Arabidopsis thaliana: one gene and its partner. The protein of the gene in region 2 interacts with the protein of the main gene of each other region in a biochemical or structural test. Each region holds a gene or a part of one and is shown on either strand. Other genes may lie near its edges. The genes, in order: TBP1 and SNL1.

Region 1 (15,491 bases), on a different chromosome or scaffold from region 2:
TATTAATCTGAACCTGTGGATTATATACAACAATGCAAGAAAGGAGTTCCTTCGATTTAGGTGACTAACTATCAAGTAGATATTTTTCTAACTTTTCCTTTTGAACATTTTAGAAACTTGATTCTACAGACAACATTATATAGCTAGCATCGGATGCAACATAGATTACAATTAATTTACACTAGACGACTGTTCCATGCTTCTTCTATGCAGACTTCCCTCCAAACACCCTTATAAAACTGGATCTGAAAGATTCTCTAACTCCTCTCCAGTACGTATAGTTTGACCCATATAACCACAGATTCACTGCTTTTTTCCAACCATCTCTCGGGAACTCAATTTCTCTACCAATCCTGGACTCCTCCCAATCTTCTTCAGTGTCCTCCAAAAGCGGGAGCGCTTCAAAACCACCAGACTCCAGGTGCTTGATCCACCCGCGCATCAGATAGTTCACCACCTGCTCGTTTTCATATCCCAAATGGTGGGTTCATTATACCTAATTGCAGAGTTTGAAGAATTTATTGACTAGTTCATTATACCTCAGGGACTTCATCGTGTGGGCAGTGACCCGCTGGGCTGATCTCGTAGTATGGAGCGTTGGGGATTTCCTTCTTTATCTTCTTTCCCCATAACGGTCTCACCCATGGATCTTCTCTTCCATACATGAGACATATCTGAACATTGTTTTCCTTACACCTAGCATAAACCATCAAATAGCAGCATTCCTCATAAGCAATAACACCAATCACGCAGAGTAAAAAACATATAAAAACAAGAAACCACACTGTCTTATACCTAGATAAAGCTTCGGAGAAAGATAGCTCTCCACCAGGAGCAAGCATGATTGAAGCAAACGATGCTGCAGCAGCCGGATGCTGTGTGACCTCCACAATACGTGAGAATACTTTATCCACATTGATAGAATGGTCTGTGTAGACCTGTTTAAGTATCTCAGCTATGCTTTCAGGATCACTTATCTTTTGCCACCTGCAGTTTCATTGGGAAGTAAAGATATTAGACTGATAGAGATAGAAATAGAAAATGATACTTTTCAGGTGAGGAGATGTGTTAATAAAGTCTCCCTTACACCAATTCTGTGATTTTTTTCACTCTTTCCGGCAGAGGGAATGCTCCGGGCCATGGAAAGAGACGTGCTAGCTTTGGGGATCTTACTGGATTAGGGAAGAAACCCCAGAAAGGTGTTGCATTAAGCAAGGTAACACCCTTAACCAGGTGAGGATGGGTTGCTGCAAAGTAGAGAGCTACATACCCTCCAAGTGAGTTCCCTGCAATGTACACAGGCTCACCGATAACCTGTACAACACAAATACCACATACTCTTACCGACTCAGCAGCTTATTTCAGATGAAAAAGATCGTGATCTCAAACTAGAACACAAACGGAATCAAAGAACAGAGATGAATTCTAATATCTAGTGCATCCTAAACTTTCCCATTCCCAAAGCAACACCAGAAGACTCCATACCCACACTTTCAGGTTCTGAGCTGAAAACTATTGAAATCCATGAGTATACGACACATAGCAACAATCTACACTAAAAAAAAAAAGCTAACACACTGCTTTTGAAATTACGACTAAAAGAACAAAATCAACAGCTTAAAGAGTAATAGAACAACTGAACTCAGATATTGCTAACCTCTTCTACAAAATACTGAACTTGATCCCTCCAGAGATCCAGAGAGAATACAAGTTGATCAGCCCACGGTTCAGTTTTGTCACCAAATCCCCAAAATGGTTCCTTATCTTCCGAGGAACTGGTTTCTTCAGTCATGGTAGTAGGATCTTCAGTAGGGAGAGATAAACCCTGTCCAAGAAAATCAATAGCCCATACTCGATAATCCCTTCCCAAATCGGTAAGCTGCTTCTCATAGTGAAATGAACCAACGCCAAAGCCAGGAAGAAACAACACCGCAGGAGCATCGAGATTGTCACAACCGGCTTTCTCATAATGTACTCTAAGCTTGGGCTTCCACTCGCAGTGAGAATGACTGATTCGAGCAGCAATTTCACCATTTGATTCATCAGGCAAACCAGGAATCAAAACCTTTGACGTTGATTCTCCTCTTCTGGCTATACGACCCAAGTCATCATTCTCACCAACAACATAACCATCGGAATTTCCACTTCGAATCACAAGTCTGGATTTTTTGACCCCTGAGAATAACAAACTTGACCGATTTGGGACCAATCTTTTCGTTGCTAATTTACTACTCCAAGTAACCACAGAGCACTGGGGCACAACGTTCAGTGAGATTATCTCCATAACAAGTTCCTGCAAATGAACAACCAAAAGGCATATCCTTTAATACGAATTTTCCACTCATATATCTCAACTTCATAGCAAAGCTAAGAATAACAAGGAAAATCACATATGAAGCTGGAATCTTTGTATAGTTATCAGAATTTTGCTTCAAAAGCTGAAACCACATACAAAAAGTTGATGAACTTGCGGTAATCTTCTATGAACTCGTCTTATCAAATCCTAATCAAAACAAAGCAAATCAAGGTCAAGCCAATCTTCTATCAAATTGAAACCAAACAACAACAACACCACCCGATTCATCGACAAAGAACTCCAGCTATATAATAAACCCAGGAAGAAAAGAAAGAAAAGAGAGAGTTGCAACTTGTACCTTTTCAAATTCCAGAAGCGAGAAGCTTCATCAAATGGTCTCTCTGAGAGCGTTATTGAGAAATTAAGCGAGGAAAAATCTAAAGGTGAAGAAGAAATAGAAGAATTGGGTTGCTTGCTGGCTTGGTTAACTTCAATCGTTCGGTGCAAACCGACAGCAACGTTTTTATCGAGTTTTTATTTTTTCTTAAAGGATCCAAAATTCATACTGTATTATTAAGTGTAGGGTTATTTTTTTCACAATATGACATTTTGTTTTGGATCTGACATTGCTAATTTGACACCGATGTAACATTGCAAAAACACATGTTTGTTGCAAAAATATGACAGAATAATATTTTTTTTAAAAACAATTGATTTTTGATCTTCTTTTCCATTGTGTAACAATCGGAAAACAAAAAAAACAATCGAAAAACCTGCAGTTTTCATATCAAACAATATAAAACCCGTTTAATTTTTGAATGGTTTAATCACTATTTTAACGGTGTTATTTGAGTTTTCTAGTTGATTTTAAATGTTAGAGAATTGATCTTGTGTGAACTAAAAATCCTAATGGTCGAAGACTAGAAAGCGAAATACACTACTCTTCAATTAGAATACAGACAACTATCTCTAAACCGAGCGTAGAATCAATAGCAATAAACCGACCGTAGAAACTGGTTTCGCTGTAACCATAACCTTTCTTAATAAGACAACCGCGTTTTACCAGTAAACGACTTTTCCTCGCAATTTAATCCCACTTTTGTTATTTTTTCAAATTCGTTTTTCCTCGAAGGAGCATCGAGTAAATATATCATTAAAGAGCCTTTAATAACTTAGACATAATAATTATATCTTTAAAAAAAAAACAGAAAAATTCTTTGCTTTGCAACAAAGGCAGACAGACAAAAGGCTAATTCGGAGCTCTCCTCCACATCTTCTTCCAAAACACAAACAAACCCCCAAATTTCCAGAAAAATCAGATCATTCTTTCATCAATCTCGTCTTCTTTAATCTTAGGTGAGAATTCATCAGCTCAAAAACGCAGCACCCGATCGTTTTACGACTCAAATCAGAGAAGCTGATTCTTTTCCAATCATTCCAATTTCCATTTCTTCCTTGGGAGGTGATCGACGATTATTCAATTTATGTTTTTCAATTTCTCTTTCTGTATTCGTCAATTTGCTTGAATTTGATCCTAGGGTTTTGATTTTGTTGACTATTTTAGGTTTTACACCAAATTAGCCGTCGAAAGGGGTGCTTCTTTGATCTAATTTCGATGGCGGGATTAGAGAAAAACGCTGATTTCTCAGGGAAGACGACGAAATCGGCTACAACGACGTCGTTCTTCAACAGGTCGCTTACAATTCACGGAAGAACAGTGGTGGATTCGGGCCCCAAATCCCACAATCTCAATCCTTCTCTCAATCGTACCACCTCCATTACCAAATTCTACACCCCCGTAGAATCGATGGGAACTTCTCTTAAAGGCAAAGTCAAAAACCTTTGTAGATTATTCGAGACTTCCAAACCCGTTAAACCTGCCTTAGCTGAGATTCCTCAGAAGCAGAAATCCGGTAAATCCCTTTTACCCGAATCGCGGATATCGCCTTTTTCGAGCTTAAACAACTCGGTCATCCGTCTTCCCGGGACAGAGGACAGGATTGTGGTGTATTTTACTAGCTTGAGAGGGATTAGACGGACGTATGAGGATTGCTATGCTGTCAGAATGATATTTAGAGGGTTTCGGGTTTGGATCGATGAGCGCGACGTCTCCATGGATATCGCTTATAGGAAAGAGTTGCAGATTGCAATGGGAGAGAAGTCTGTGTCTTTGCCTCAAGTTTTCATTATGGGCAAGTATGTTGGTGGTGCTGATGTGATCAAGAGTTTGTTTGAGATTGGTGAGCTTGCTAAGATTCTTAAAGAGTTTCCAATGAGACAACCAGGGTTTGTTTGCCATTGCTGTGGGGACATTCGATTTGTTCCGTGTTCCAATTGTAGTGGCAGCAAGAAACTGTTTGATGAGGATGAAGATAGGGTCAAGAGATGTCCTGAATGCAATGAGAATGGATTGATACGTTGTCCTGATTGCTCTTCTTGAGATATATCATCAATGAACCTGAAAAAACCATTAAAAAAAAGAAGAAAAAAGAGGTATTTATTTCTCTTTTGATGTTTCCATTGTTGTGTAGAACAGTGAATGATGCTGCCACAAGTATCCGAAAATCTCTTTTGGATCAGCAGCATTTCACTTTGGGTTTTTTAAGGTTTGCGATCAACGGTAATGGGAATGCCGGTGATCGTGGATTTAGTTTATGTATGTGTTTGCTACTAAGGGCTAAATGTAATTGTGTAATCAAAATGTCTGAAACGGGTAGTAAGCATTTTGACTCTTGTGTGTCAATGTTGTGAAAGACAACTGTGTTCTTATGCTATATATTTGATTGTAAATATTTCGTGTGTTTATGGGCATCTTGTTGATTACGACAGTAATTGGGTGGTTCTACTCGCTTGATCGTCTTTTTATGACAACTTGGTTAGAAGTTTTCTACCGACATAATCCTCCATCGTTCTTGTTCGCTAACTCTCAAGTATGATCAAGGGCTCTCAGAACCAATTTATTGGTTGAGCGTAATTGAATGTTGGTGGTTAAAACATAACATATAAGACAATCATGTATCATTGACAATATTCTAATCTTGATTCCGCAAACATTCATGATTATATCGGTGACAAGTCCATAAGAAAAGGGTCATACTTCATTTTCGCATTTGATAAACTTTTGTTTCCGGCAAAATTACTTATTAGGTGAACTCAACATTTAACCTCTATTTCCGGCAAAATCATTACCTTAAAAGAAACTAATTCATTACTCATTCCAACGGACCAACTAGTCCTTTTGGCTTAGGTTGGAGCCAATCCGATAAGTTTGGAGAAATGACAAAATCAGACGTGGTAAAAGTGAACACTTGCATCACTAGTTACTTGATTTGTTTGAAGAGAGGTGTGACCTATAAGGAAACTATCCAACTCTTTCTAAAATGTCAAAGAGAGTTCTGAGGCTTTCTTAAGAAAATGCATCTATCCTACCTACGTTATTAGGTCCAAGAATAAATATTTGCAATCAGAAGCAAATTTCAATCTTGAAAAGCCCAAGTGTATAAAACGATGAGGCAACCTATCTGAAAACTCAACGTTTAAAAAGCCCAATATTGTTTTTGCCTTATTGTCATCATTATACAGAGAAGTATATGGTTTCTTTAGCTACTTGTTTTCTTATCTTTTGGCACGAGGAAATCCTTTTTACGTTTGAGTTTGCAACTTTCCTTCTTTTATAGTTTTAGTCAGAATTGACGGTTATAGATTGTTTTTCACGCAACGTTTTTTCTTTAATTAAAAGGTTACTTGAACAGTTGAACTACTTCTTACTAGTGGTATCTTCTTCACTCACGCATCCACCCCCCACTTGGACCCACTTAATACATACCTTACTTTATTATTCCGGTTTCCGACCCATTTTCAATCATAAATTCATAATCAAAAAATTTGTCCTATATGGAAAATTTATGTTTCTATCGACCGTGCTTCAAGCAAAAACCAAAGTTTATTTTGTATGATCGTGAATCTGAGAACGGGACGGCTCGATCGACTCTACCGTGTTTTTAGTCGAAAGGGTATAGTATTGAATTATTGATAGCTTTGGATAACCATGTTGTTTTTGCAATGTGACACATTTTGCCTATGTCGTGCTCGTGCTCGTGCATGAGCATGATCGAACGACTATGTGGGTGCTATCAATTCTTAGTCAATTCTGCATAAAACATTATGATTTCATGATTTCATACATTTAGGATGGTGACAATGTACTCAACAACTACTTATGCTGGTTTTGGCCCCAAAAAAACATCGTTTTCTAGTGTTTTGGAAACTCGTTAATTCGACGACCTCGCCCAATACGGATATGTTTGACGCGGCATTCATGTCTTGTCTTAATTGGTATGCTAAATATTATTCCAACCGTTAATATAAATATTTAGAGTTATGATTTGACTAAAAACATTAATTAAAATATGTATATTTCTTTTTTTTTTTTTTTCTTTTTTTTTTTTTTTTTTTTTTTAAAATATGTATATTTCGTAATAGTATTTCAAGTGTTAGTGTGCACTAATTTAAATGATTGATTTTTCTTGTAAGAATATTTCAAACTTTGAAATTAACTCTAGAAATCTTATGTAATGAAAACAAAACGAAAGTATATAGAATCACGATGAGATTAACTGGCTAAAAAGTAATCATCTTTCATACAAATTTGCTATACATTTTTTTAATAAGGACTTCTCTTTTAATGTGTAGGAAAGATGAAATCAAAACACACCTATAGATCTATTTTCCATAACACACAAGATCTGAACACGAAAAACAATTGTTATACCAGATATATACAATAGTGTTTTTTTTTTTGGTTTGAATGATATATACATTTACATATATATAAACACATATATTAACGTATAAAATATTACAGGAAATTTGATTGGAAATGAAGTCCAAGTTGAGTAAGTTTTATTTCAACCACCTCAAGGAATATATACGGCCTTGAAGCATACGTAACCATCTCAAAGGCAGTTTCAAATCAAACGTAGATGTTAGGGTATAATGTAAGATATTGAGATTCTTGTTGGCTAACGGAATATTATATCAATATCGAAATGTTGCCAGGATATGAGAACCATGTGATGATGATATATACGTGATTGCTTTTCTTCAACTTGGTGACAGAGAAAAAAAAAAGTTTAAAGGAGAAATAAAAGAACAAAAGCTGTTCAACCCAACCGAATTAGCTTGCAAACGAGTAAAGAGCAGATCTATGCCTCATCCGCTGAAGCATAATGCATGAAATGCTAGAATCCAACTCTCTTCGGTTTTTGTGCTATTATTTAGGATATTTCTGCCTGCTACACATTCGTTGTCGATATTTGAAAAACATTGGGATCAAAAGACATCTTATATGAATAAAAATATATTTGTTAATTGTTATACATAATTTGATGTTATTTTGACATACTATGACAATACATATGTTATCGTCACCGCAATATTAATTAACTGTTTTCGTCAACAGTGTATAAATGATTCCCATAACATTATTAAACGTTGAATGGTAGGAAGAACAACTTGGTATGTTATATATATAACAGAGATCTCATATTATAAAAGTATGAAAATCATGTGTGCACATAGACTATATCACATCTACATGAAACACAAACACAAACACATGGATTTCTTCTAAACACAACGACATGGATATAAATCCAGTGTTATCGGCGTATTAAAAAAATAAGACAATGTATGAGTGTGACAATCAACCATGTGAAATCTTGTCTTTCTATAAATATACTAGTTTAGAACTTTTTGTTTTATTTTATTTATTTGTTATTTTACTATATCTTAAGATAAGCTTATGCCAACTGACTTTCAAATTAAAATGGAATATTCTCGTTTTGTTAGGTGGTTGGATCTCGTTTTATTTAAATTTTCCTATATCCGTCTTACCGAGTAATTTAACATTTTTTACAACTAAGAATATGCTCTTTTCCGTCCAATTGGGAATATGCTTAACAACACTATCATGGATGATTATCCTAAATGTACAATAAATTTACTACTTAATCTTCATTCATGTTATCATGTTAATATACTATTGAAGGATTCCATTGTAAACTATTTCATGGATGATAATCCTAAAGTGTCTTTGGCTTCCCCAGTCAATATTAAACAAATTCAACGCAAACTTTTTAATAACAGTAAATAAACTTACCCAACATTAATATTTGACCAATAAAAAGTCATAAATAAAGCTTTGAAAATATTAATGGGGAAGAATTCAATAGTTTTCGAAACATCTTAAACCTTACTCTACCTAATAACTAGACTTAAAAGCAAAGAATCGAATTAAACGAACCACCCCACTCTTCTGCTAATAGGCAAAAACAAATTCCAGGTGTAAAAGCACGTCAGCAAGAGAAAACACGTGGACCAATGATGTAAAAACGTGCACGGAACAGTAAAAGAAGGGATACCACGCGGTATCACAGCCTCATAATATTCCCTTCAAAATGGGAATATTATAATTATTATCCAATCCCGAAATTAACTCTCTTTTTTTTGGTTCTGACAATGACAAACAAAATAGGTTTCGTGTAGTAAGAGTATCCTCCACGTGTCATTAAAAACAAAAAAAATGGTTCGAAGAGTGACTGGCTCTACCCGGTAAATCCACTATCCTTGAACTGCCACATCCGGTCGCGTGGTTATTATTTATTTTATTTCCTCTACTTACAAAAAAAAAATGGTGTATTTATTTTCTTCAAATGGGGGTTTAAGCTTTTTTTCAGTTGTTTGGTTTTTTCTTTTTCAAAGGGTTTAATGTCTTCTTCTTCTTCTTCTTCGTTATTTCTATTCTAGAAGAGAGAGAGAGAGAAAGACAAGGACGATCGTTAAATCTTTTTCTCTTAAATCTTAGAATTTCAAAGTCTCTGTAATTTTTTTCTCTTTTCATTTGTATAGCACAATTGTTCTTAATCAGAGATTCGTGAGAGGTAAAGGTAGCGTAATTATTCAGTTTGCGTGATCTATAATTTAACTGGCGCCAGATTGTGATCCAGGAATCGTTGGCTTGTTAGGTGAGTTTTTTTGTTCATCACAATTCATGTTCTCAATTCTGTTTTTCTGATCCACAAACTCAATTCATGTTCTGTTTTTGGTGACAAAAAAGTATTGAATCTGAAGTCGAATAAATTATTTGGCGGTTTGTCAGAAGTTGGCAATCGAGATCTGATTATGTTTTATTGTTTGTTTCTACGTAAATTGTGAGCATTTAAGTTACATTTGTTTCATTGATCTAAGTTTTTGCGTTTCATCTATACGTTGCTTGTTTCGCTGCATTTTTGCATGTTTTTTAAAAAACAAACAAAGTGATCAAGGGTTTGGTGTTCATTGTTGATCTGAATCTGTATAGGGCTTAGTTTTATCTTCCTGATTTTTTTTTTTTTTTTGCATTTGACCTCGGATCTGTTGATCATTAGTTTAAGAATGTGTTCAAATTATACTGATTAGCTTAATTTTGTTGGAGATGATCATGACATTAAAAGTCTTTGATTTTTTTGCAGGTTGTTGTTTTGTTATGCATAATTGAGAGATGGTGGTCAAAAGGAAGTTAAATTGTGGTGGCTCTAATGGTTTTGATTTCCCCAATATTCCCAAGGCTCCTCGTTCAAGCAGGGTAAGAGATCATGGTCTTCATTTTTTTTGTTTTTTTTTTTGTATGCTTTTGTAATACGTCTCTGATGACTTTTGTTTCCCTTTTGTAGAGGAAGGTCTCAGGTAAGAGATCTGATGATGAAAGTGAGATCTGTGCAATTGATTTGCTAGCTTCTCTTGCTGGAAAGTTGTTGGAAGAAAGTGAAAGTTCCTCAACGTCTACCTATGCATCTGAAGCTGATAATCTTGATCATTTGGGTGGACTGATTAAGCAAGAACTTGAAGATGGCTATACTACTAAGCCTTGTAAATCCGAGTTTTTCGATCCAGGAAACCCTGCTTCAAAGTCTACTAGTGAAAATACTAGCGTGACTTGTTTGCCATTTTCGTCTTTCGAAAATGATTGCATTTTGGAGCAAACACCGGTTTCTGATTGTAAGAGGGCATCTGGTTTGAAGTCCCTGGTAGGGAGCATCACTGAGGAGACATGTGTTGTTAATGAGGATGCCGGATCTGAACAAGGTGCTAATACTTTCAGCTTAAAGGATCCAAGTCAATTACATTCGCAGTCTCCAGAATCGGTCCTTCTGGATGGCGATGTGAAATTAGCACCATGCACGGATCAAGTCCCTAATGATTCTTTTAAAGGATATAGGAATCATTCTAAGTTAGTTTGCAGAGATGATGACGAAAACTATTGTAAGTATTATAAATTTAGTGACAAATGTAAGTCATATAGGCCTCTCTCCCGGGTTGGCAATAGAAGAATAATGCAGTCGGTGAGAGCAATCTCCAAGTTGAAGTGTTTTGAAGACACTAGAACAGGTTAGTATCATATTACTGTGTTTCTCCTTGGTGCATTTCTTTTTAGCTGCCGCTCTGCCCTTACTTTGCTTGCGGATATATTTCTAGATGGTCGTTTGAAGGCTCTCTACCGCAAGAGAAAATTATGTTATGGTTACAACCCATGGAAGCGTGAGACCATTCATAGGAAGAGAAGATTGTCTGACAAAGGTTTGGTCGTAAATTATGATGGTGGGCTCAGTAGTGAAAGTGTTTCCAATTCACCTGAAAAGGGAGAATCAGGTACATATTAGTCTATATCTAGATGGTTTATTACCTTGGCTGATATGGTTTTGATTTCATGATTTTTTTGCTTCTTTGTTGAATGCAGAAAATGGTGATTTCTCTGCTGCAAAAATAGGTCTTCTTTCGAAAGACTCCCGTGGTATATGATCAGTTGATAATTTACTGACTTATGGAGACATGATATGTGGGTCTCATGTTATTTCATTGTTTGCAGTAAAGTTCAGCATCAAGTCCCTTAGGATTCCGGAGCTTGTAATTGAAGTTCCAGAAACAGCAACAGTAGGCTTACTGAAGGTGCGTGATTAAATGTCTTTTCCTACCGGTCTCTGTAGATGTTTTGGTTCTGCTGTGTACAATGATGAAGTGTTATTTACATAAACCTTTTTGGTTGCAGAGGACGGTGAAGGAGGCGGTTACTGCTTTACTCGGTGGTGGAATACGTATTGGGGTGTTAGTCCAAGGGAAAAAAGTTAGAGATGACAACAACACTCTATCACAGACTGGTCTTTCGTGTAGAGAAAATCTTGGCAACCTTGGCTTCACCTTAGAGCCTGGTTTGGAAACACTGCCTGTACCTCTTTGTTCTGAAACTCCTGTCCTTTCTCTGCCAACTGACTCTACAAAGTTGTCAGAAAGGTACTAACAAACGTGATCTTATATATATATATATATATATTTGTTACTGCAAGTTTTGCTTGTGTATGGATAAATTTGAAGCTCTAGAGATATACCTAAGGACAATCATTCGATCTTGCTAGGTCCGCAGCTTCTCCAGCGTTAGAGACTGGAATTCCTCTCCCTCCCCAAGATGAAGATTACTTGATTAATTTGGGAAATAGTGTGGAGAACAATGATGAATTAGTCCCACATCTGAGTGACATACCAGCTGATGAACAACCTTCATCAGATTCAAGAGCGCTGGTTCCAGTTTTGGCCTTGGAATCCGACGCTCTTGCACTTGTTCCAGTTAACGAGAAACCTAAGCGTACAGAGCTTTCACAACGCAGAACCAGGAGACCATTCTCTGTTACAGAGGTAGAAGCTCTAGTAAGCGCAGTTGAAGAAGTTGGGACTGGAAGGTAAAAAGACTGGTTTGGTTGATGAGGGTTATTAATACAATAATTTGGTTATGTGGTCAAACTAATGATAGATATTCTTATTTCACAGATGGCGTGATGTGAAGTTGCGTTCTTTTGAGAATGCAAGTCATCGAACCTATGTGGACTTGAAGGTATGAGAACACATATCAGAAACTGGTCAAACACACTTTTGAGTCTTAGCCACTACATAAATGGTTCCAATAACTTTGTGATTTGTTGCAGGACAAATGGAAAACGTTGGTTCACACAGCAAGTATATCACCACAGCAACGAAGAGGAGAACCAGTGCCTCAAGAACTGCTAGACAGAGTCTTAGGAGCACATAGGTACTGGACACAGCACCAAATGAAACAGAACGGGAAACATCAGGTGGCTACAACAATGGTGGTTGAAGCAGGTTCGTCCATGTAAAGAAGGAGAATGGTAATAACAATAACTTTCACTTGACGACTAAGGAACCAAAGTGGGCAACTGTACAAAGGGAAACAACAAAATACAGAAACATACTTAATTTCTGAAAAGAAGAGTCTATATTTTTATTTTTTTTAAATCATAGCTGGTAGAAACAAGACGTTCCTTGACACTTTTGGTTACTTTTATGGTAAGTCTGTTCATTCCAAATTTCTAATTGATTTGATTATGTAATTTGGTGGTAGGACCATGGAAAAAGGGGAAATGTAATTTTAGACAATTCTTTTATTTTTTTGTTCATCATTCCATTCAATCTAATATCTATGGACTATGGCAGTGACTGGTTTTCATCAATCTCTAAACCATTTGACAATACTTTGTCGGCCATCGTCTTTCCTTCGTTCACATTGGGTTCTAAATATTTTGGATTCTATTGAGAATGGGGTTTTGGATTAACAGGGCCCAACTACTAAAGTTGGCTTGCTGCACTTTTGCCACAATCCCTCTCAAATTATTTATTTAGCAGTAAAACACCAAATTTAATCTTGGTTACACAATATAATATTAACCAAAATAAACAAAGAAGATTCAATTCAACTAAACACCAAAACAAGAAAATCCTCGATTGATTGTCACATTAAAAAAAAAAAATGTTTCTTTATCTAAATAATTTGGATTCGAAATTTTTAGCCACTTACATAATAGAACCATCAATTCCCAACAAATTAGGTCTACTAAATAGATTACTTTCGGAAGACGACTATTGCGCGCGATTTTTCAATATCTGCATAGATTTGATCCACTTCTCCACGAGTATGATACATTTGCCCTAATGGATCATAAAAATACTGCACATTGAAAACTAAACAAATATTAAAATCTGTTATATTATAATGTACATTGAAATTAAATGATAAAAATGTGTGATATATATAAACACACACATATAGAATGAAGAATCATATATGCAGTAAAAGCTAAGAGTTGACAAAAAAGAAGAAGTAAAAACTAGGATAAAAACTAACATTTGAGTGAGCTTGAGATTTAGAGAAGAAACTATATGCATGTGCATACATTTTTCTTGACTCGGGTCTCGAAACTATACTTTAATCATACTTGCCAAATCAAACATATATTATCTTGAAAAATGAATACAATTCTCATAGAAAGAGAGATTCTATCCCAAAACATAGATTACTAATTCTTAAAACTAATGAATTTTTTGCGGTGACAATAGAAGGTGAGTCTAGTAAAAAAATCTAAATCAACATGACAAGAACAACTAAACTACTACCACTTAGTTGATAGCATGTTAATTTTCCATCAAAAGAAAATAATAGTTACCCGGTAGAGTCGGTCATAGACCTTAAGACGCTCCTCAGCGATCCAACCAGAACGAAGCCAGTTGTAACGAGGACATGTATTATCAAACACAGTAGAAGACGTATTGGGGATTTTATTCAATTGTCTTCTGCGACTCACAATCATCAACGTCTCTTTCCCTTCTCTTGACAGATTTGCAACGCTGCTCTCATAACTGATCACATCCGATGATCTCTTTTGTCGTGGACGTTTCTGTCGTCGATGTCCAGAACTACTAGATTCAGCCTCCATATCTTATCCTTGTATTATCGTCTTGTTACACTTTTATCTTAACGAATTTCAAGTCTTTGTATTTACACAAAACTTATCACCTTAAGGATACAATTGTGCCATGTGTTTTCTCATCTTCGTTGGTTTTGCACATTGTATAGAAATATATCTTAAGGAGATTACAAAATCTCCAAATACATTAATGTATTTCTTTTTTATTTTCGTTATTCTGCACTATATATAGAAAAGTATCTTAAGAAATTTACACAATGTCCATAATACATTAATGTATTTATTTCCATAAATAAAATTATGTATTTTTACACTTAATACCAAACATAAAATAAATATCAATTTAAAAAATGGTTTAATGAATTTCTCTTTAATTTGTTTTATTGAAGTTTTGTTTTTGGAAAGTTTGAGTTTTCTTTTTCTGAATTTAATTAATATTATTTAACGTTAAATTAATAAAATTTTCAAGTTGAGAAAATGGTTACATTGCTGTAAAACAAAATTAATTAGAAGATAAATCAAGTATATAGTCCAAGTTAAGTTCCAAAGGATTTCACCAATATAACATTAATTTATCATATATTATTAGATGAGTACTCACATATATGTAAAAACCTCTCTAATTATAATTTGTATTGGTTTATCTTAGGAGGGGTTATTGGTCTATTGATTTGTAAATCTATATAGAGTTTGAAAATCTCTATTAATTATGAAATCAAGATATATGAATTTTGAAATAACATGTGTTTACCCATGGATTTGAATCCTTTTATTTTTCTCTTTCAAATCCATTCAATTCCATTTAAAACATAATTTGGATTTTCAAATCAAAAAACAAATGACTAAACGAATAACAAATGATTTTAACTAGTATTTATAAATCATCGAATCAATAACACATGATTTTAATTAAAATTTTAAAATCAATGATTGAATAACAAATGATTTTTGTTTGGAATTTCAATTCCTTATAAATCTATAAACCAATAACCCCTTCTTAGTCTTGCATCCTTGAATATACCCTGTTGACATAGATGTAAACTTGTTTATTTTTTGTTTGTGTTTAAATTGAAATATCATTGTTTTTTTTTTGTCAAGGTTGAAATATCATTGTTAATATCATCTTTTGAATACTTTTCACATAGAGGTAAATAGTAAACTTGATCAACTTTCAAATTTTTATCCTCCTAATTAATAATACTTTTCACTATTATATTTTGTTCACTGTTAAGAATGAGTAAAAAATTTGCAGTTTTTGATTTAAAATAGAATTATCCTCGCTAATATTTTTTTTGACTAGTTTGCAATATTTAAAAATGTGGACATTTTAGGGTTTATAAGGTTTTGGTAAAACAACAAAAAAGGAAGCAGAAGACATCGGTTGTTGT
Region 2 (17,358 bases):
TGGTACGAAAATCTTAATATTTCACAAATCGGAAACAGTCATATATGTGGAGTAAGAAAAAAATATGTATATTATTTCTTTGATAGCATCGCATAATCTATATCCAAATTGATTGTGGCATCCGAATATGCATTAAAAAAAACCCACGAATCAAAATCATTCATGTGCATGTCAGTTCTGTTGACTTGGTATTTGTACCATGTTAAAGTTGTAAACTATGAAGAAAATGAATCAAGGAAAAAAGGATCTTCTTCATCGTTAGATAAAAAGGATCTTGATCGTTAGATAATTTTTAATTCTCGGAAAATGTTTCAGTTATAATATAAAAAAAATCAAAATGATTTTGAATACAAATGAGAAGAAAGTTTGATATACGAAGCGTCTAAAATTAAAAATACATTTCGTTGATTCCAATTGTTTATATTAAATAATTAAAACTTAAAAAAAAATTCAAAATATTTGTATTTTTTCATTACATGATATTTGTTTCATTGAAAACTACTGAGAACATAAGTCTCTCAATACAATAGTATTGTACTCTACGCCGGGAGATACAATCAAAAGGCAGTGAGGAAGTATATTCACTGCATTGCAACAGTCTTTTGATAGCAATCTGACAAATTTCTCCGACCCTAACGCTAATTTCAACGCATCGAAACATCCACTCACGTTTACTATCGGTGCTATCTGTTCACTTGAACATATCCACGATTGGATCTTCATCTGAGCTTCGGATGGTCGGAAAATCAAAGCTGAAACTACTATTAGTACGAAGAACATCATTTTGATTTGCTTTGTTTTCATTTTATCTGTTTTTGTTTTACAATAGAAGACGAAAAATGTATAGATGGTTTATAGAGTTTGTGTAGTTGTAGAGAAATGACGTGATGCCTTTTTTTTTTGTGGGTTTTTTTCTCAGGATATCCTTCTATAAGAAGATGGAGTAAAGAAAGAAAGACGTAATTAATTAAATATACAAGTTTTGACCCAAGCAAATACTTATTTATGGAAAAGTAATTTTATATGCTTGAATTAGTTTGACCAATGGACTTTTTTATTTATTTTTGTTAAAAAGAGATAATCTTTGAGGGGTCATATATGTTCAATATTAAGGTCGAGATAAGCAGTAACAACATTTTTGGTGACTTAAGACCAACAAAATAATTAGAGACAGCGAGATCATATTTCGGATTAGTTAAGTTGGAAATAACAACTGAAAGAAAATCACTACTAAACCTTACCCTAATTAGGTTTCACTTTGACCAAAGAATAATGTTGATTACCCGTGCATCCGATATGGATGTTCATACATTCAACAATATGGATTATTTGTTATCTCATAATCGATGGAATCTCTAAATACTAGGTTGTTTACAAAGCATTGAAGCATTCTTTAGTGATAAGACTTCAAACAAACGGAGGAGCATGAAACAAAGAACGAGACATGTATAGATATATAATAGGATTGTTTGCGATTTGTGAAATGTTAATATTTTCGTATCAGAATTAAAAAAATAAATTTGATTCGTTGATTATATCATTATAAAATACAGAGAAATCATAAAATTAAGTTATTGAAAATTTCGAAACAAATTTCTTTGAAGAGATTAGTATTGTAAGCTCTGTTGGGAAATACAAGCAAAAGGCAATCATCAAGTGTTTTCACTGCTTTGCAACAGTCTCTTGATAGCCATTTGATATCTACATCCGCAGCTAATCTCACCGCATCGAAACATCCATCCACGTTATCTATCGGCCTTGTCTGTGTTCTTGAACATATGCTCGTTTTTATCTGAGCTTTGGACGGTCGCAAAATCAAAGCTGAAACTACAATTAATAAAAAGAACATCATTTTGATTTGCTTTGATTTCATTTTCTGCTTTTTTTTTACAACAGAAGACGGAAGATGTATGGTTTATAGAGTTTGTGTAGTTGTACAGAATTGACGTGAGATTGCTTCTGCGTGGAATGTATTCTAAGGATTTCCTTCTATAAGAAGAGAGTGAGTAAAGAAAGGCCACGTATACAAGATTTGGAAGTTACATATACTCATTTATGGAAAACTGGTAAATTTTAAATACGTTGAAAACTAACCGCGCCTAAGCATCCACTGGTTAGTTAGTCCGTAAGCAAAAATGAATCTTAACATTTCACAAATCGCAAACAATCATTTATGTCTCGTTGAATGTTTCATAGGCATCCCGTTTGTTTGAAGTCTTGTCTTAAAGACAAATCACGACGGCCTCACTAAGGAGTGTTTCAATGCGTTGAAAACAACTAAGTAGTATTATTCCATCGATTATGAGATGATAAAAAAATCATCATTGTTGAACGTATGAAACATCCATATACTGGATGCAGGGGTTTTCAACACATATTCTTTGGTCTTTTACTCTTTAGGAAAGATGAAACCTAATTAGGGTTAGGTTTAGTCATTTTCGTAAACTTAATTAACACGAAATATGATTTCTCTGTCTCTGTATGTCTCATTGTTTTCTTGTTCTTAATTCACCAAAACAAAAATGTTGTTGTTACCGCTTAGTCACCAATAAAAAATTTAGTTGATTTCATAATCTTGAAATTTGAAGCATATAATAATAATTTTTCTTTTGGGCCTATCTATCTATTAACCAAGGCATCTTCAAGTGCTTTCCCATATTTACAACAACATTCTCCTAAAGAGCACAGACACACACTACATGTAACACTAACAGACTTGGCACTTGAAACCTAAAGATACACACAGTAACTCTAAACCACCATTGTTCTTCTTATGGTTTTGTTCCTTTGTGCATCTCTCTATATCTCATCTTATAATCAGCATAGTAAGAAACTTGAAGACCAAAGTTGGGAATTGTTGCAGAGAACTTTACTTGTGCGACTTTGTCAGTTTTACCTTTTTCTTGTGTGTTGTTGGTTTGAAGGAAAGAAGAAAACCCAAGAGGAAACTTTGTTGTGGTCATCTTTAAGCTGAGAGAAACCTATGGAACCTTTCTACTCTCACCTTGTTACGTTGCCATAACTGTTCAGTCTTCTTTTTCTTCTTCTTCCTGTGGAAGTAATCCTCTGTGTCCAATACGTACGCGATCTACAAGAGATGAGTATATATGTTGACTGATTCATGAACAAGAAATTGAGTACAGAGAAGCTTTTGCATAAAGAAAGATGAACAGGTTGAAATGGGTATAATTGAGTTGCTTGGTTCAAGATCTTTGGGACGGAAGATCGGTTTACCTTGTAAGAAGAGCAAGACATCTTGCATTCCAAGCCATTTACTACTTCGACACCTTCCATAGCTTTACAGAGATCATACAACCCGGTGAGGTTCCTGCCAAAAGGGAATTTATTTAATTATGCAATATCGTTGCAGTATCCTGGACCAGTTCCAGTAGAAGAGAAAAAGAAATAATAAACCTATATATAACCTGCAAGCGTTTCAAAAGAGATAGAATCTACCATTTCCATGAACCTAGAGGTTTATGCGAAAACCTTAAAGAGACAGATGATTATATAAGATATATACCTTTGTAATACAATGTCATGTCCCTCCTCTTTCTTTCCTGATGAGACGGAAAGCAACTCAGTTTGCATATAACTTGCAAATGTGGGATCCATAGAAACTGCATATGCTTCTGGCTTCTCGATTATGTTATCCATAAGCTGGATAGATAAACGTGAAGGCAAGGATGACTGCATATCAATTAAAAAGGGCAATTAAGTTCAAATTGATCATGAGTCACCACATTGATGTATGAAGACCGCGGGAGATAAGAGAGTCACAAGGGTTCATACACATTCCAACCGGTAAATATTTTCCTCGTGAACGAGGACCCTAACATTTTCATAATACACTGAGTCGATAACCCTTCCTGGTTTCCGGGATTTCTCATACTCATACAACTGAAGCAGCTTGTTGTCCATTTCATCGGCTACAATAGCTTGAAGCTGCAGATGGATAATATTAGAACATCACAAGGAAGGTAACATAATGTCGATAACATAAAAAAAATTGTCCTAAACCACTAGTGTGAGTAACACCTGCTTAACCAATCTGTAAATCAGTTTGTCCAACGTGAATAACACATATGATTGGTTTCCAATTATAGCTCTGCACTCATCCTCAAACTTGGTATTTTCAGCTGATCCATCTAGCAAACCATACAAAACCCTCATAAACCTGTACAACACACAGATCAGATTTTGATGGGAACAACATGTATATGATTATCTACATAGGCTAGTATAAAAAGTTGTACAAAGGAAGGTACCTCGCATAAGGATCTCCGGCATTGGTATCCTTTAAGTTTTTCGATTTCAGTTCACCGCCTGAGCAATTCCTTTTTGCATACAAAATTCTCTCGTACAGGATCTGAAAATGCACCACGTTATCTTTGCTAGAGAGAATCAATTTCAATAAATAATTAGGTAACTCACTTGGTGAAGCCTAAAAAGAACATAAAAGTCGTCATTCCCATAGAAAACTTGGAGATCTTTTGTTCTCTCATCGCATAAAACTGCTGCGACATGCTTTGAAAGGGGTCTGACGGATAAGAGAACACGTTCTGACTGTGGAAGCAGCTCACTTTCTCCTTCTAAGAGATGTGGATCCATTCCCTCCGCTTCTCCTTCACTCTCAGCTTTACCATCGATCTCATCATGCTCACCATTCTCCTCCTCTCTATCTTCGTCCTGAGAACATACGTCGCCACCAGATTCAGTTCCAGATGCCTCGGAAGCATTTTCACTATCAACATCGTCAGCATCGTCCTCATTCTCTACTTCAGCATCTGCCTCTACTTCAGCCTCTGCTGAATTCTCTGGTTTGGATGTGGACTTCACCCCATGATCTTTGTAAACACCAAAGTTGTCTTCAAAATCACCATTAGGTGACAGTTCACCTTCCTCTTTCTCATTTCTGGAGGGACCTTCGGGATCATCAGAATTCCTAGTACCTTTAGAAGAATCTGACCTTAATCCATTTGCCAAAACTATCGAATTGCCAACATCACCTCCCTAGTAATATGACAGAGTCAGAAGGGTCCGGAAAGCATAATTATAATATAAGACACATTTTAAATTTTTACACCCCTGGGTCCCATAGGTAGTACTGTAAATTTTTACATCCCTAAGCTATGGAAACCTCCAGGTAATAGTGGGTTTAGGCGAATATATAAATATGGTACAACGAGCAACTGAATGGTGTAAATATGGTACAACGAGCAATTGATTGTAGTACTAGTACCTGAGTCGAATGAACAGTTTCAATGCTATCTACATCATGATGAATATCAGTGAGGGTGTCGCTTGGTTTGGCTTGAATCTCATGTGCACCTTAATTGTAAAGTAACAAATATCAACACAAATAATCAAGCAGCACAAATAAAATTAAATAGCTTAAATCTGGAAGGCACCTGGCAAAACTTCCTTGCCTACTACACAATGATTGTTTTCTGCCCCACTTGGGATTGATATACTCGAGATGGCTGCTCTTTCGCTAATATCCATTGGGATAGGTTTTCCAAACCTTTTCTCGGCTTCATTTCCAGTTTCTTGTTCTTTCTGAGGTTTCACAGCAGAGCAGGCAACACCATCTCTGTTAGCTATTTCAACATCTTCAAGATTTTCTTTCCCTGTCGAATCTTTATTTAACAAACCTATCCCATGTTTGAATGTCCCAGATGAAGAATTCTCATCTCCATTGGCAGCAGATTTAAGTTTCCTAGAAGCCAACCTTGCTGTGTCTCCTCCAGAACTCACAGCAGCCTCCCCGTTAGGAGATGTGCTGTGATTCACATCGAGAGTCTTGGGGTTTATTACAACATCTTCAACAAGATCTGTGCCCTTGGCCCTGGGAGGAACACCCAGCACTGCCTCCAGGAAATTTTCCCAAAGCCTCAGAACTTTACTGAGCTGTTCTTTTGTAGAACATAACTCCTCACATGAAAACTGGACTACTTTGAACATGTCTTCATGAATAGCTCTGTTCAAATACTCATATTCAAGATTAGGATTTATAGGTTGTCTGTAACCAGCAGAAATAGACAACAGAACATCATCATCATTCTGAGACTTCTCTTTCAGCTCCTTAATTTCAGCCAACAATGCTGGTTCACGAAGCAATAAAAAAACAGAATGAGAAAGGAATAAGTGAAAGGAAAAATAGCACTGCCGGATGTATGTGAGCGATAAAACAGGATAAAGGAACTACTTGAATATAAATCTTCTTACGACTTCTATAAGTCTACTTACATTTTGCACTCAAGTTCTTTGAATCTTGTTGCTTGAAGTAGAAGCTGCGGTGATCAAGTGACTTGTAATGGTTTTTTGCATATACGTTCGCCCAGACCTTATCAAAATCGTCACGGCATTTCTTCCATTCACCTTGTTTCTGCTTTAAACGAGTTAGGATTACAGGAAGTGCAGTGGCTGGATTCTTATTTAATATGTCTATCACGTCAAGACCATGGTCGCCATAAAGTCGCTCAATACACCTTAAATTTAGGGCTGTAAATATGTCAATAAGAAAATGGTAAAGTTAATAACCAAACATATGAGGACACCTAAATAGGGGAAGAGAGAAGATATAACTACGAACTGTAAAATGGTCCCAAAAAAGCATACAGACCCGTAAAATGGTCTTCGATCCTGAAGGAGCCAGAAAAACTTATTTTCTTCTCTGTGATGATGTTCAACAAACTTTCTGCACTTCTGGCCGCAGAGCTCACAGATTCCAGCAACATGTCCAACTCAAATCTGTTATAAGCAGTAATTAACATAAATGACCAATTACTTCAAACTATAATATGTATGTTGTCAATATAAATACCTATCATCTTCGCATCTGAACAAGCTCTCTTCATATTGGTTTCTGCGCATGTGCTTAAAAGAATAATCTTCACTTCCGGAAGTGACAGATACCCAATGATCATTTAAAACCTCAGCTCCTAGCTCCGATCTCTGACTCGCAATTGGTATCGGATACTGCAAATATAATATTACAGTAAGTAAAAATCCAATGAACATGCTCAAAATGCAACTTGGAAATAGAAGCTTACATCCGCAGGCAGAAGCCGGTAGCTAGGAGTGCAACACTCGCAATCAGAGAGATCGAGCTCTTGAATAGATTTTCCCATGTACTCCTTCTTGCATTGCTCAGTTTCCTTCACAGCCTCGAGTTCAGGCTTGTGTTCACTTTCTTTCTCTTCCACCTTCATTGGCCTGGATAACTGTTCTTCGCTGCTAAATAATTCTGCCAAGTGTACCAGCAATGTCAGTAAAGATTTTACAAAGTAGGAGGGAAAGAGACAATATTATTCACAGCTGGGAAGTTTAAAATAGCAGCATACTTTTGCTCATAACACCAGCAAGACGCTGAAATCCATCTACAAAAAGAGGATGACCGTCAGAAAGAAGAAGATTGCTGATATGTAATAACTATTAAAATAACAATACGTATTTCAGTACCAGTAATACTCTCACACCGCTCGAAGAACTGGTTGAACTCATCCATCAGATCAGGAAATTTCCCAAGAAGATCAGAAACCTGAAAGAAAATGAATGGGATTTAATACAACTTCCTGAACGTTACCACAAGATCAACCCCTGATCACAAATTGCAATACCAAGTTTTGCAGATCCTTCCTTTGGATTATTCCATTGCTAAAAATATTGAGGCACTTCAAGAATGTCTGATAATCATCTTGGCTGCATAGTCTATCCTTGACTTTCTCACAGAAAACGAATGCTTGTTTGTACATACCTAACACAAAGTAAACATCTTAGAAAACAGAAGCAGATCTTCGCACCTTAAAGATCACCATGCAACCAAAATTGGAAAATAAATTCTCTCTCAAAGAGAAAGAATTAAGGTGTCCAATGTTTGGGACTCTTAAAAAATAGAAAAGGTACCAAGCAAATAAAAAAATGTTTGACACAGGAGTTAGCTTACTTTTCAAATTGTCTTTCTCAGAATGTGAAGCAGAACCAGAATATGCTTCAAGAGCTTCAGCTCTTCTGGACGACTTTCTTTTCTCTGGAAAATGGTGTAGGTTATCTTGACCTGCTTCTCTATCGTCCAAATCACGGCCTCTCCTTGCCCTGTTCTCCTTATCAAGGCGCTTCCGCTGCTCTCTTTGAATCTTCACCATCGTTTTATCATCATTAAGGTCATAACGTTCAACACTATAATCACCGCGGAGAGCAACAGCCCTTTCTCGTCGGCGTTCCTGGTGATAAAAAGTTGTAGCGGGAACAAAATTGAGATACGTGGCAAAAAATAGAACAAGGAAAAATATGAAACAAAGATCAAACGAACCTTTTCCACTTGCATTTGATGAAGTAGAGGAGGGTCTGATCCTCGGTCGCTGTACTGTTGAGCCTGACTCCGGCTATGCTGCGCTGCTGAATGAGATGGCAAAGACGCTGGCAAAAACCTAGTAAACTGTTCAAGCAAATCCAAGTGGCCTTGAAAAAGAATAGATACCTGGAGCATAGATATTCGAAGGTTAGAAAAAGTTTGGAGTGGCATTACAGGTGAGATGAAGTATATTACCTCGTTGTACACCTCTTTAATTTCCTTGTTCTCCTTTCGGTACATATTCAAGATTTCCAAGAAAGATTTATAGACATGTTCATCGTGCTTGAATCGCATCTGCAGTGAGAAAAAAGAAACTTGTACATTGAGACACAAGATGTAAGCGCACTTCAAAAGAGAAATATAAGACCAAGATTTCGACAGCACCTTAATTTTATTCACAAAATTGATGGCTTGTTCGAATTCAACAGTCTTCTTTGGCAGAGCGTCGTCTTCCTCAATAAGCGTAATTTCATATCCCTTAGGCAAAAAGGTGTTGAATCCATAAATCAAATTATTATGTCCCTTAAACAATTCCTTAACTCTTGCGATCACACCGCCTGTGTCGGTTCTGAAAATGCAAGACGAAGAATTAATACAATGCCGCCTACTAAAACTTACTTGAACTTTGAAGTCGATAGAGAGTGAAAGAGCTAACCTTTGAGCCTTAAAATCTTTCATAACCTCGAGGAACCTGTCATATTTCTCGCGTTGATCTTGAAACATCTCTTTTACTTCCCTCAGGTACGACAACGCATCATTGGTTGTCAATTTCTGAGAGACTCTCCGGCTCCCTCCTTCTTCTTCTTCTTCGGTGTCACCACTGCCGTGGACCGGAGATTGTCCACATCTGCACCAAATCATCTCTAATCGATTACTTAAAACTACTCAATTCATAACAAATATTTGTCACTCTCCATGCAGAATTATAGAAAACCTAATCGCCACAAAACAGAACCAAGATCAAAACCGAAATTTGAAGGGTGAATTTAGAGAAACTCACAATTGGCCTCGAGAAGAACCAAGAGGACGTCTAAATTGAGACCCAGAGGCATATACATCATCTCTTATCCGCTTCATCACAAGTTAATTAACGAAGCAGAGGATCAAAATTCCCTCCAGAGGAAAAATATGTATGAGACCTACTTTCTATCACTCTCGAGAAAACATATGTAGTAGATGAAATCAGATACTCAGATCTCTCAAAGGAGAACAGAATCGTTAAGAAGCGCTTTGATCACCGGCAATCATACATAGACAGAGGAAAATTCCGGCGAGACTCCAAATTCTCCGGTTTAACACACTAGACTGAATATGAATTGCGATGATACTGATAGGAGACGAGAAGTAGTAGAACGCAGAGTCGAAAACGAATGAAGAAGACGGAGAATTTCAGAGGAGTTTGCAACAAAGACGCTGAGAATTTTCGAATAAGGAAGGAGAAAAAGGCGGAGAGAGATTTTGCATTCTGGGGTCTCTTCGATGTTTCACTTTCTCTGTGTGTTTGCTGCTAACTACTGGTAAATTGGTAACTTATCTTTTATTCTACTTCAATTTGGGCCGGACACTCAAATATCTATTGGGCTTTTTAAAATAATAGGCCCATTTATCAAGAACTCTGTTTGGTCGGAAAAAATTGTGATGAATTTTTCATATAACAAGAAAATATATGTACAGATTTGCGTCAAGCATTGAACAAAATTAAGCACGAGCCGAAGAACCGATACATTGTCGGAAAAGTGATGATAAACCACAAGCGAGTTTGTTTCGTGTAGAAGATGAGATGTCTGGTCCTCTACGTATTTCAGAAAAGTATGGAGGTGGTGATGAAGAAGATGACGAAGAACTTGATTTCTGTGATGGATTTTTATCTTCAAGATCATTACTATTTCTTCCGGTTTGTTCTAGATGATTTTGAAGAATTGCTCCATTTTTTTGATCTAAGATGAATTGATCACTCCAAATACGACCCGAAGAACCTTGACGTCGGAACGAAACAGCTGATCTTTGTAGCGATGTCATTACTTAAGTTTTGAATCTTGTTACGATTATATCTTCTTTAATACCAAACTTATTTTATTCTATCAATTTTGTTGTGTGTTTGTTTCTTTTGCGTATGTATGAAGCTATTGTTTCAAGTGTTTGAACTTGTTTAAAGATAAAATGAACAGAATTAGTTGAGTTTGAAATTAGATTTTATCCAGTTTTGGATTTACTACAAAACATGCTAAATTAAGCTTAAAAGTTTATATCTACTCCCCAAAAAAAGGATATAAATTTTGATCTTGTCTTCCATTAAAATAGGATCCAATGACTTCAAGCCTTAAATAGATGTAGATTTTCTTACAAATTATTTTGTTCCAAGTACATATTTTTTTTTAAAATTAATATTTTGTTTTTTCTTGAATCAAACCAAAAATGAGAAGTTGTAAATTTTCAGTCAAGCCCATCCATATAAGCTAATTGAGTATTGGTTTGGGGTTTTTATGGGTCAAAAGAGGTTTATTATAATGGGCCTTATGAAGCTCATATACGACCCATAAGCGTTAGGGTTTTCCTCGAGAAACCTAAGAATCGCCGCCATTGGGGACCTTTATATACAAACCACACATGACTTTGACAGACATCAAGCTCTTATCAAGTCAGTTTAGGGTTCTCTGTTCAAGTTCGTATTTTATCTTCAGTTTAGTTTTCTTTAGATCTTTGGTTTTCGAGTTATGATGTATTGGTCCGTATAGATAATGCAAAATTGAGATCAGGTGATGAGGTAATACTGCAACAATATGATGGAGTAATCTTTGTGATTATTAGTATTTAAGTCTCTGATGATCTTAATCGTTTTCAACTAGATCTTTTTCGATTTGATTTTCTTCTGTTTTGATTGTTTTGTTTGAAACGAGAGATATGATGATCAACAAATTGGTCCGTGTTTCAGATTAACCGTGACCGAAAAAATTCTTAACCAAACTCTGATCTCTCTTCTTTTCTTTCGATTTTTTAGTATTTTCCTTCAAATTTCGTTTTGGATAATTTCTTCTTCTGCGGTGATGATTTTATGAGAAATTCACATGTCAGACTTCAGAGATTCTTGTAATCTATGAGAATAAATTCATATATCTGAGCAGAAGATTCGAATTATAAAAGACTCACACATATACATTGACCGTTTACAGAGATGGAATCATAGAAACAAATAGAACAGTTTGATTTATTTAACCAAATAGTTCAATTAATGGAAGAGGTTCAGAATCTGGTCTTCGGAGTTGTCATACTATTTAGAAATCTGGTCTTATAATCTGAACAATCCTAATCCCACGGTTCAACAAACTTTTGACATGGATCAAACATATAACAAACCATTAACGATAAAAGACTCAAATCAAGCGAATTAAAAAACAAGACTCAGGTCAACAAACCATATTAGCCTACGTTGCATCACGATAATGAAGAATAACTTATAGATCCATCCCCTTTTGTCTCCTAATTCTTAATTTTTTAGAAAGAGATCATTATTGTTCTCGGATGGAGATATTTAGAAAGGCAACGATTGTACGTCTCCGTAGCCACAACGACAAATACCTAAGTGCCGATGAAGATCAAGAATCCGTTCATCAAGATCGTCGCGGCACAACAAAAAACACTAGATGGACGGTTGAGATCGTACCTGGATCCAATGTGATCCGTCTTCAAAGCTGTTACGGCAAATACCTTACCGCCACTAATATTCATTTCCTCCTTGGAGCCACCGGCGAAAAGGTAGGTTTATCTAGGGGAGATTGGGTTACAAGAAACCATCTCAAATCAAAATTAGGATTCTTTTTCAATAAATTTCTTGAAAAACAAGGCATCCAAATCCATTGATAACATTTATAAACACTTTGACAAAGTAAATCTTGCCCAAGAGATATTTCAAATGTTTAACAACGAGAAAACCCATTCTTATGACTATAGCGCAAACAAAAACGCATAAACAGAATTTTTTTAAACGTGGAAATGTTTCTTGCTAAACAAGCCGTGTGTGTTTCATATTCACAAGGTACTTCAAACTCTACCCGAAAAGTTGGATTCATCTGCGGAGTGGGAGCCGCTATCAGACGATGGTGTACACGTACGGTTCAAGAGTCGCTACGGACAATATCTGAGGGCAAACAAAGGTGTACCACCGTGGAGAAACTCTATCACACACGATATTCCTAGTCGTACGGTCACACAAGATTGGGTCATGTGGACTGTTGACGTTCTTCAGATTCGAGTTATCAAAGATGATGCAGAGTCTACCCACAGTTCTTCCACTTTTTCACGGATTGAGGTACTACTACTATATACACTACACATACGTGCCAATACCATTCTTCTGAAAATACTAGTACTAAACATTCATCGATACATGATCAGTCAGATGATTCGTTTATTGTGAGTTTACCACTCAAGTCCGAAGGAAGGCTAATATATTACGAGACCGGAGATGATAGTGGGAACATAAATAAGGAAATAGGAGAAAAATCATTGATATTCCATGGAAGCGAGTTGATAGAACTAAAGAAGAAGCTTGAGGAAGAAACAGAGATGGAAGATGTTATGATTTGGTGTAGAAATCCTTTGAACGAAAAGCTTTGTCCTCTTCAATTGCATCTTCCTCCTAACAACGCAACTATGCACATCATCGTCTTTCCTTCTTCTTGCGGTACTAAACTTACCTCCTTCTTCATTGTTACCATTATCTATAATCAAAATATTGTTTATGCATTCCTAATTTTTTTCAATTGAGGATTTCGATTTCCAATTAAAACTTTAGGTATATTCGAGACATTGGGAGTCCAGAGTTGTTGTTTTTCCGATTTCTTTTGGTCGGAACTCTAATGAAAAATCCGACACATAGTTTTCTTGAAAGTCTCATTATTCGTCACGTCAGCACAAACTTTTATTCATCCCAAGTTTAACTATTTTAATACAGCCTCTAATTGTGTTTTTGATTTTTTGATTTTTTTTTTTTCGCAGAGATTGACAAGTGATTGTCAATAATATATTATCAAATTATAACCAACTTGGGAAGAAGAAAAAAAAGATTATTTTGTTATTTGTGTACGAAGAAAGAAGTCATTGTGAAGCTAATTTATTCTTCATATTCCAATATATGATAGTTGATAAGTACATGTATAGTTGTATATACAACATAATGATCTATTCGTTTAACATTTTTCTTTTAAAAATCTTGGAATGAAAATACTGTATGTTACCTAGAATTCAAATAGAAATCACACCTAACGAACTAGTTGGTAGTAGAATCTTATAATTTTGTTTAATACACAAAATAAAGTCAGACAATCTGAAAATGACACATAATATGTTTTTGGGTGGAACCTTTTTAACTCTATTATGCAAAAACATAACTTTTTGGGAATAAGAAAAGTTGTAAAGCAACCAAAAAGCTAAATGACATATATTTTTTCTTTCTCTTAATTACTGCATATTCTAGAATCCTACTACTAGATCTTATCCTTCCACTTTTTTTTTTTGTTACATATTAATTTGTCTTAACCAAAATATACATAGGAAAACCTTATAGGGACATTATATCTATTTATGTAACATTGATGGACGACACACACAATGGACCATGTGATATTTTAGTTCATATATCAATAATAAAGTTTTGATCATTATTATTATAATTATATTTGCTCGACCATGATAGTGTATTTAACGTCAAGTGTGGGTCCAATTTCGGTCCAAGGATGCTGACTAGAAATTAGCATTTTTATAGTTTTCTCCTAATAATATACTATTTAATGCAAACGGCCTGTGACGACTGAATTGTCCTCTGTCTGGCCCCGTGAGCTTCACCGCAGCTTTTAGATATTTTCTTTCCCCGTTCTTTCGGATTTTTTTTTTCTCCCCCTCTCAAGCAAAGCATTATCGCTATTGCTCTGCCTTGTGAGCTGCGATCACCTGTTTACTGGTAAGTCTCTCCTCGTCTTCTCCTTCTTCTTCTCTGGGAGATCTTCTACTGTTCTCTCTGTGAGCTGATTTGTTTGGTTTCCTCCATAGAGCTGATCATATCATCATCGTTGGGAACTGACGAGATTTAGTCTATATTGGTGAATTATTTTTGTTTATCTGGTTTTGATTTTTTGAATCTGTGACTTTAGAGAGAAGAACACTGCGACGTCGTTAAAAGTAGGTTGAGAGCGAGAAAGGCCGAGAGAATGGAGATGGAAGAAGGAGCAAGTGGTGTTGGTGAGAAGATAAAGATTGGAGTCTGCGTCATGGAAAAGAAGGTGAAATGCGGCTCCGAGGTTCTGTTTTCCCTTTTTTTTGTTTGTTTGTTGCTCGTCTTTCGCGTTTTTCTACTGACCAACAGATTCCGATTACACGGCTCCATGATGACCGGTTTGTCTTTTTTTTACTACGTGTGTTCTCGCTCATACATTCCTTGTTGTTGTTGCTTTATAGGTTTTCTCAGCTCCCATGGGGGAAATTCTCGACAGACTCCAGTCTTTTGGTGAATTTGAGGTTCCTTTCTCACTTGATGATCAATTTGATACTCTCTGGTTTGTATTCTTATAGTTGTTTTTATTTTCATTGGAGAGAGATTGTTTTTTTTTGATGGAATAACCTGTATTTTTGTGATTCTTGGGCAAATGTTATTGGAAGATGCTTCTGAGTAACTTTTTGCATTAGTCTGCTAAAGAAGAGTTGTTGACACTTTTTGTCGTTGTAGATTCCCTGGTGTATTCCATTTCCTCTTTTATTTATGATCTCATTTACACTTTTGTTGCAACTTTATCCACAGATCTTACATTTTGGGGATAAAGTTATACTTGAAGATCCAATAGAAAGGTATTCTGTACCAAATAGAGCTCTCTTTTGGCTTTAACTCATGTTATGAAAGATTCGTTGTTAGTGTATTTAGACAAACTGTAGCTGAATATATATCAAGTACAAAGTATATACTGGAATCAAAACTTTACCAGACTGTTTACTCTTTCAGTTGGCCCATTTGTGATTGCTTGATTGCTTTTCATTCCTCTGGATATCCTCTTGAGAAGGCTCAGGCATATGCTGCTTTAAGAAAGTGAGTTTTACCTTTTATCTCTCACTGTTGGCTCAATAAACAGCCTATCTTACATTAGTCTTTTTGGTGAAAATTAAATGAGTTTGGCTATTGAGGTGTGATTTTTCAAACTTGTGTTATTCAGGCCATTTTTAGTGAATGAACTTGATCCGCAATATCTTCTTCATGATCGCCGGAAGGTGTATGAGGTAAGCATTTTAGACTGCAAGATAGCTGTTTCTGTGCAAATTCTTCAGAGTGATTCAGCGTTAACGAAAAATAAGAACTACCTAATTTTTCCTTTTACTAATCAAAATAACTACTTATGTGCATCTACAGCATCTTGAGATGTATGGCATCCCAGTTCCTAGGTATGCTTGTGTCAATAGAAAGGTACCAAATCAAGACCTTCATTATTTTGTCGAGGAAGAAGATTTTGTTGAGGTCCATGGTGAACGCTTCTGGAAGCCATTTGTGGAAAAGCCTGTCAATGGTGAGCTTGCCTCTGGCTATCCTCCTTGTTTTATTTATCTTCTGATTTGCAGTTTTTTTTTTTAAAATTATTATTGGCTAACTATTGACATTCTTTATACGTGTTTAGGAGATGACCATAGTATAATGATATACTACCCTAGCTCGGCAGGTGGAGGCATGAAAGAATTGTTTCGCAAGGTACTGCATCCTTCTGCAGAACTTCTCTGTTCTGGATCGAACTGGTTATTCTGATATTGTCATAATTCTGATTAGCTCCTTTTCTTCCTAATATATTTCGCTTGTCCCCATCTTACTACAGATTGGGAACCGATCAAGTGAATTTCATCCTGACGTCAGAAGGGTAAGGAGAGAAGGCTCTTATATATACGAGGAGTTTATGGCCACCGGAGGAACTGATGTCAAGGTTCTGATTGTTTCCCTTCTACACATTTTTCGATAAAACCATTACCATTCCCATCTTTTGGACAACATAGGCGTTTGAGAATATTATTGTACAGTTGTTGGTATCAAGTGTCCTCAACGTAGTAGGTTGCTATGTTAATATCCTATGTTTTTCTACTGGCCTATATATTACAGTATATACATGCTGCATGGCTTTCCACCTGCTGATGTAGCTTTTATTGCTGCTTGTTTCTGTCTGGTGAGCATGAGTTCTCAACTGACAATCTTCCTGGTAAACACAGGTCTATACAGTGGGTCCTGAATACGCACATGCTGAAGCAAGAAAGTCACCTGTTGTTGATGGTGTTGTTATGAGGAATACAGATGGGAAGGAAGTAAGTCTTTCAATCATTTCCCAACAGTTCCATTTAGGGAACCTAACATACCTAGTTTTTAATGAAGGAAGGGCTATGGTTTCAGTATCTACTGATTATAATGAAAAGCATGAGTTGCTTATGTTTTCATGAAGGTTTAAACTGTTAATGTTTTGATTTTGATCAGTATTTTATTTTTGGTTAATATATTGAACAGGTGAGATATCCAGTATTGCTTACACCTGCTGAAAAGCAAATGGCTAGAGAAGTTTGCATTGCATTTAGGCAAGCGGTATGTTGTGAATCCAATCCTCCGGCTCTCATTATGTCTTGCAGGGCCGTAATCCCTTATAATGGTACGTTCTGATTTCGTGCAATGACGTAGTAATTTCTTCAACATTTTTCACATTTCCAGGTCTGTGGGTTTGATCTTCTACGATCTGAGGGCTGTTCATATGTTTGTGATGTCAATGGATGGAGTTTTGTGAAGAACTCATACAAGTAAGCTAGCATCTGCATTTTTATTTTCTTTCTTAAAATCATAGTTGTATTTATAGGTTAAGTTTCTAGAATAAATGCTGAGATGGTTTTTAGACTGGCATGTTTCGCCTCTTTCTTAACTCTCTAAAAGTTGAGTTTCAATTTTAAAGTATTCACAAATCTCTTGCACTGTAAGGTATTATGACGATGCTGCGTGTGTG

What was found.
Region 1: the proteins of SNL1 (region 2) and TBP1 form a complex in vitro, tested with the Arabidopsis thaliana proteins (one study listed by BioGRID).

The regions. Positions count from the first base shown.
Region 1 is NC_003076.8:4,451,858-4,467,348, forward strand, and holds TBP1 (telomeric DNA binding protein 1), read left to right. Parts: upstream 1-8,982; 5' UTR 8,983-9,321; intron 9,322-9,696; exon of another isoform or gene 9,697-9,807; 5' UTR 9,808-9,836; coding exon 9,837-9,920; intron 9,921-10,008; coding exon 10,009-10,723; intron 10,724-10,810; coding exon 10,811-10,984; intron 10,985-11,072; coding exon 11,073-11,126; intron 11,127-11,201; coding exon 11,202-11,281; intron 11,282-11,381; coding exon 11,382-11,623; intron 11,624-11,745; coding exon 11,746-12,066; intron 12,067-12,154; coding exon 12,155-12,218; intron 12,219-12,309; coding exon 12,310-12,498; 3' UTR 12,499-12,880; downstream 12,881-15,491. Other genes in the region: PPH (pheophytinase), read right to left, coding at 206-457, 540-696, 796-987, 1,088-1,314, 1,658-2,293, 2,391-2,450; AT5G13810 (Glutaredoxin family protein), read left to right, coding at 3,912-4,736; AT5G13825 (uncharacterized protein), read right to left, coding at 13,242-13,346, 13,843-14,112. UniProt on the Arabidopsis thaliana protein: Binds specifically to the plant telomeric double-stranded DNA sequences 5'-TTTAGGG-3'. At least 2 repeats of telomeric sequences are required for binding. Induces DNA bending.
Region 2 is NC_003074.8:98,805-116,162, reverse strand, and holds SNL1 (SIN3-like 1), read right to left. Parts: upstream 9,870-17,358; 5' UTR 9,868-9,869; coding exon of another isoform or gene 9,727-9,867; 5' UTR 9,434-9,726; coding exon 9,357-9,433; intron 9,204-9,356; coding exon 9,012-9,203; intron 8,925-9,011; coding exon 8,741-8,924; intron 8,651-8,740; coding exon 8,552-8,650; intron 8,483-8,551; coding exon 8,315-8,482; intron 8,226-8,314; coding exon 7,949-8,225; intron 7,760-7,948; coding exon 7,623-7,759; intron 7,544-7,622; coding exon 7,465-7,543; intron 7,383-7,464; coding exon 7,347-7,382; intron 7,250-7,346; coding exon 7,056-7,249; intron 6,982-7,055; coding exon 6,827-6,981; intron 6,754-6,826; coding exon 6,626-6,753; intron 6,505-6,625; coding exon 6,250-6,504; intron 6,105-6,249; coding exon 5,412-6,104; intron 5,332-5,411; coding exon 5,243-5,331; intron 5,014-5,242; coding exon 4,435-5,013; intron 4,370-4,434; coding exon 4,269-4,369; intron 4,178-4,268; coding exon 4,039-4,177; intron 3,946-4,038; and 9 more. Other genes in the region: AT3G01326 (ECA1 gametogenesis related family protein), read right to left, coding at 499-804; AT3G01322 (ECA1-like gametogenesis related family protein), read right to left, coding at 1,559-1,873; AT3G01319 (uncharacterized protein), read left to right, coding at 9,727-9,867; AT3G01311 (actin cross-linking protein, putative (DUF569)), read left to right, coding at 11,876-12,109, 12,390-12,662, 12,749-13,120; AT3G01310 (Phosphoglycerate mutase-like family protein), read left to right, coding at 14,560-14,649, 14,807-14,866, 15,147-15,193, 15,345-15,428, 15,553-15,616, 15,747-15,900, 16,009-16,079, 16,201-16,305 and 4 more. UniProt on the Arabidopsis thaliana protein: Acts as a transcriptional repressor. A histone deacetylase (HDAC) activity is required for transcription repression. May play a role in telomere stability.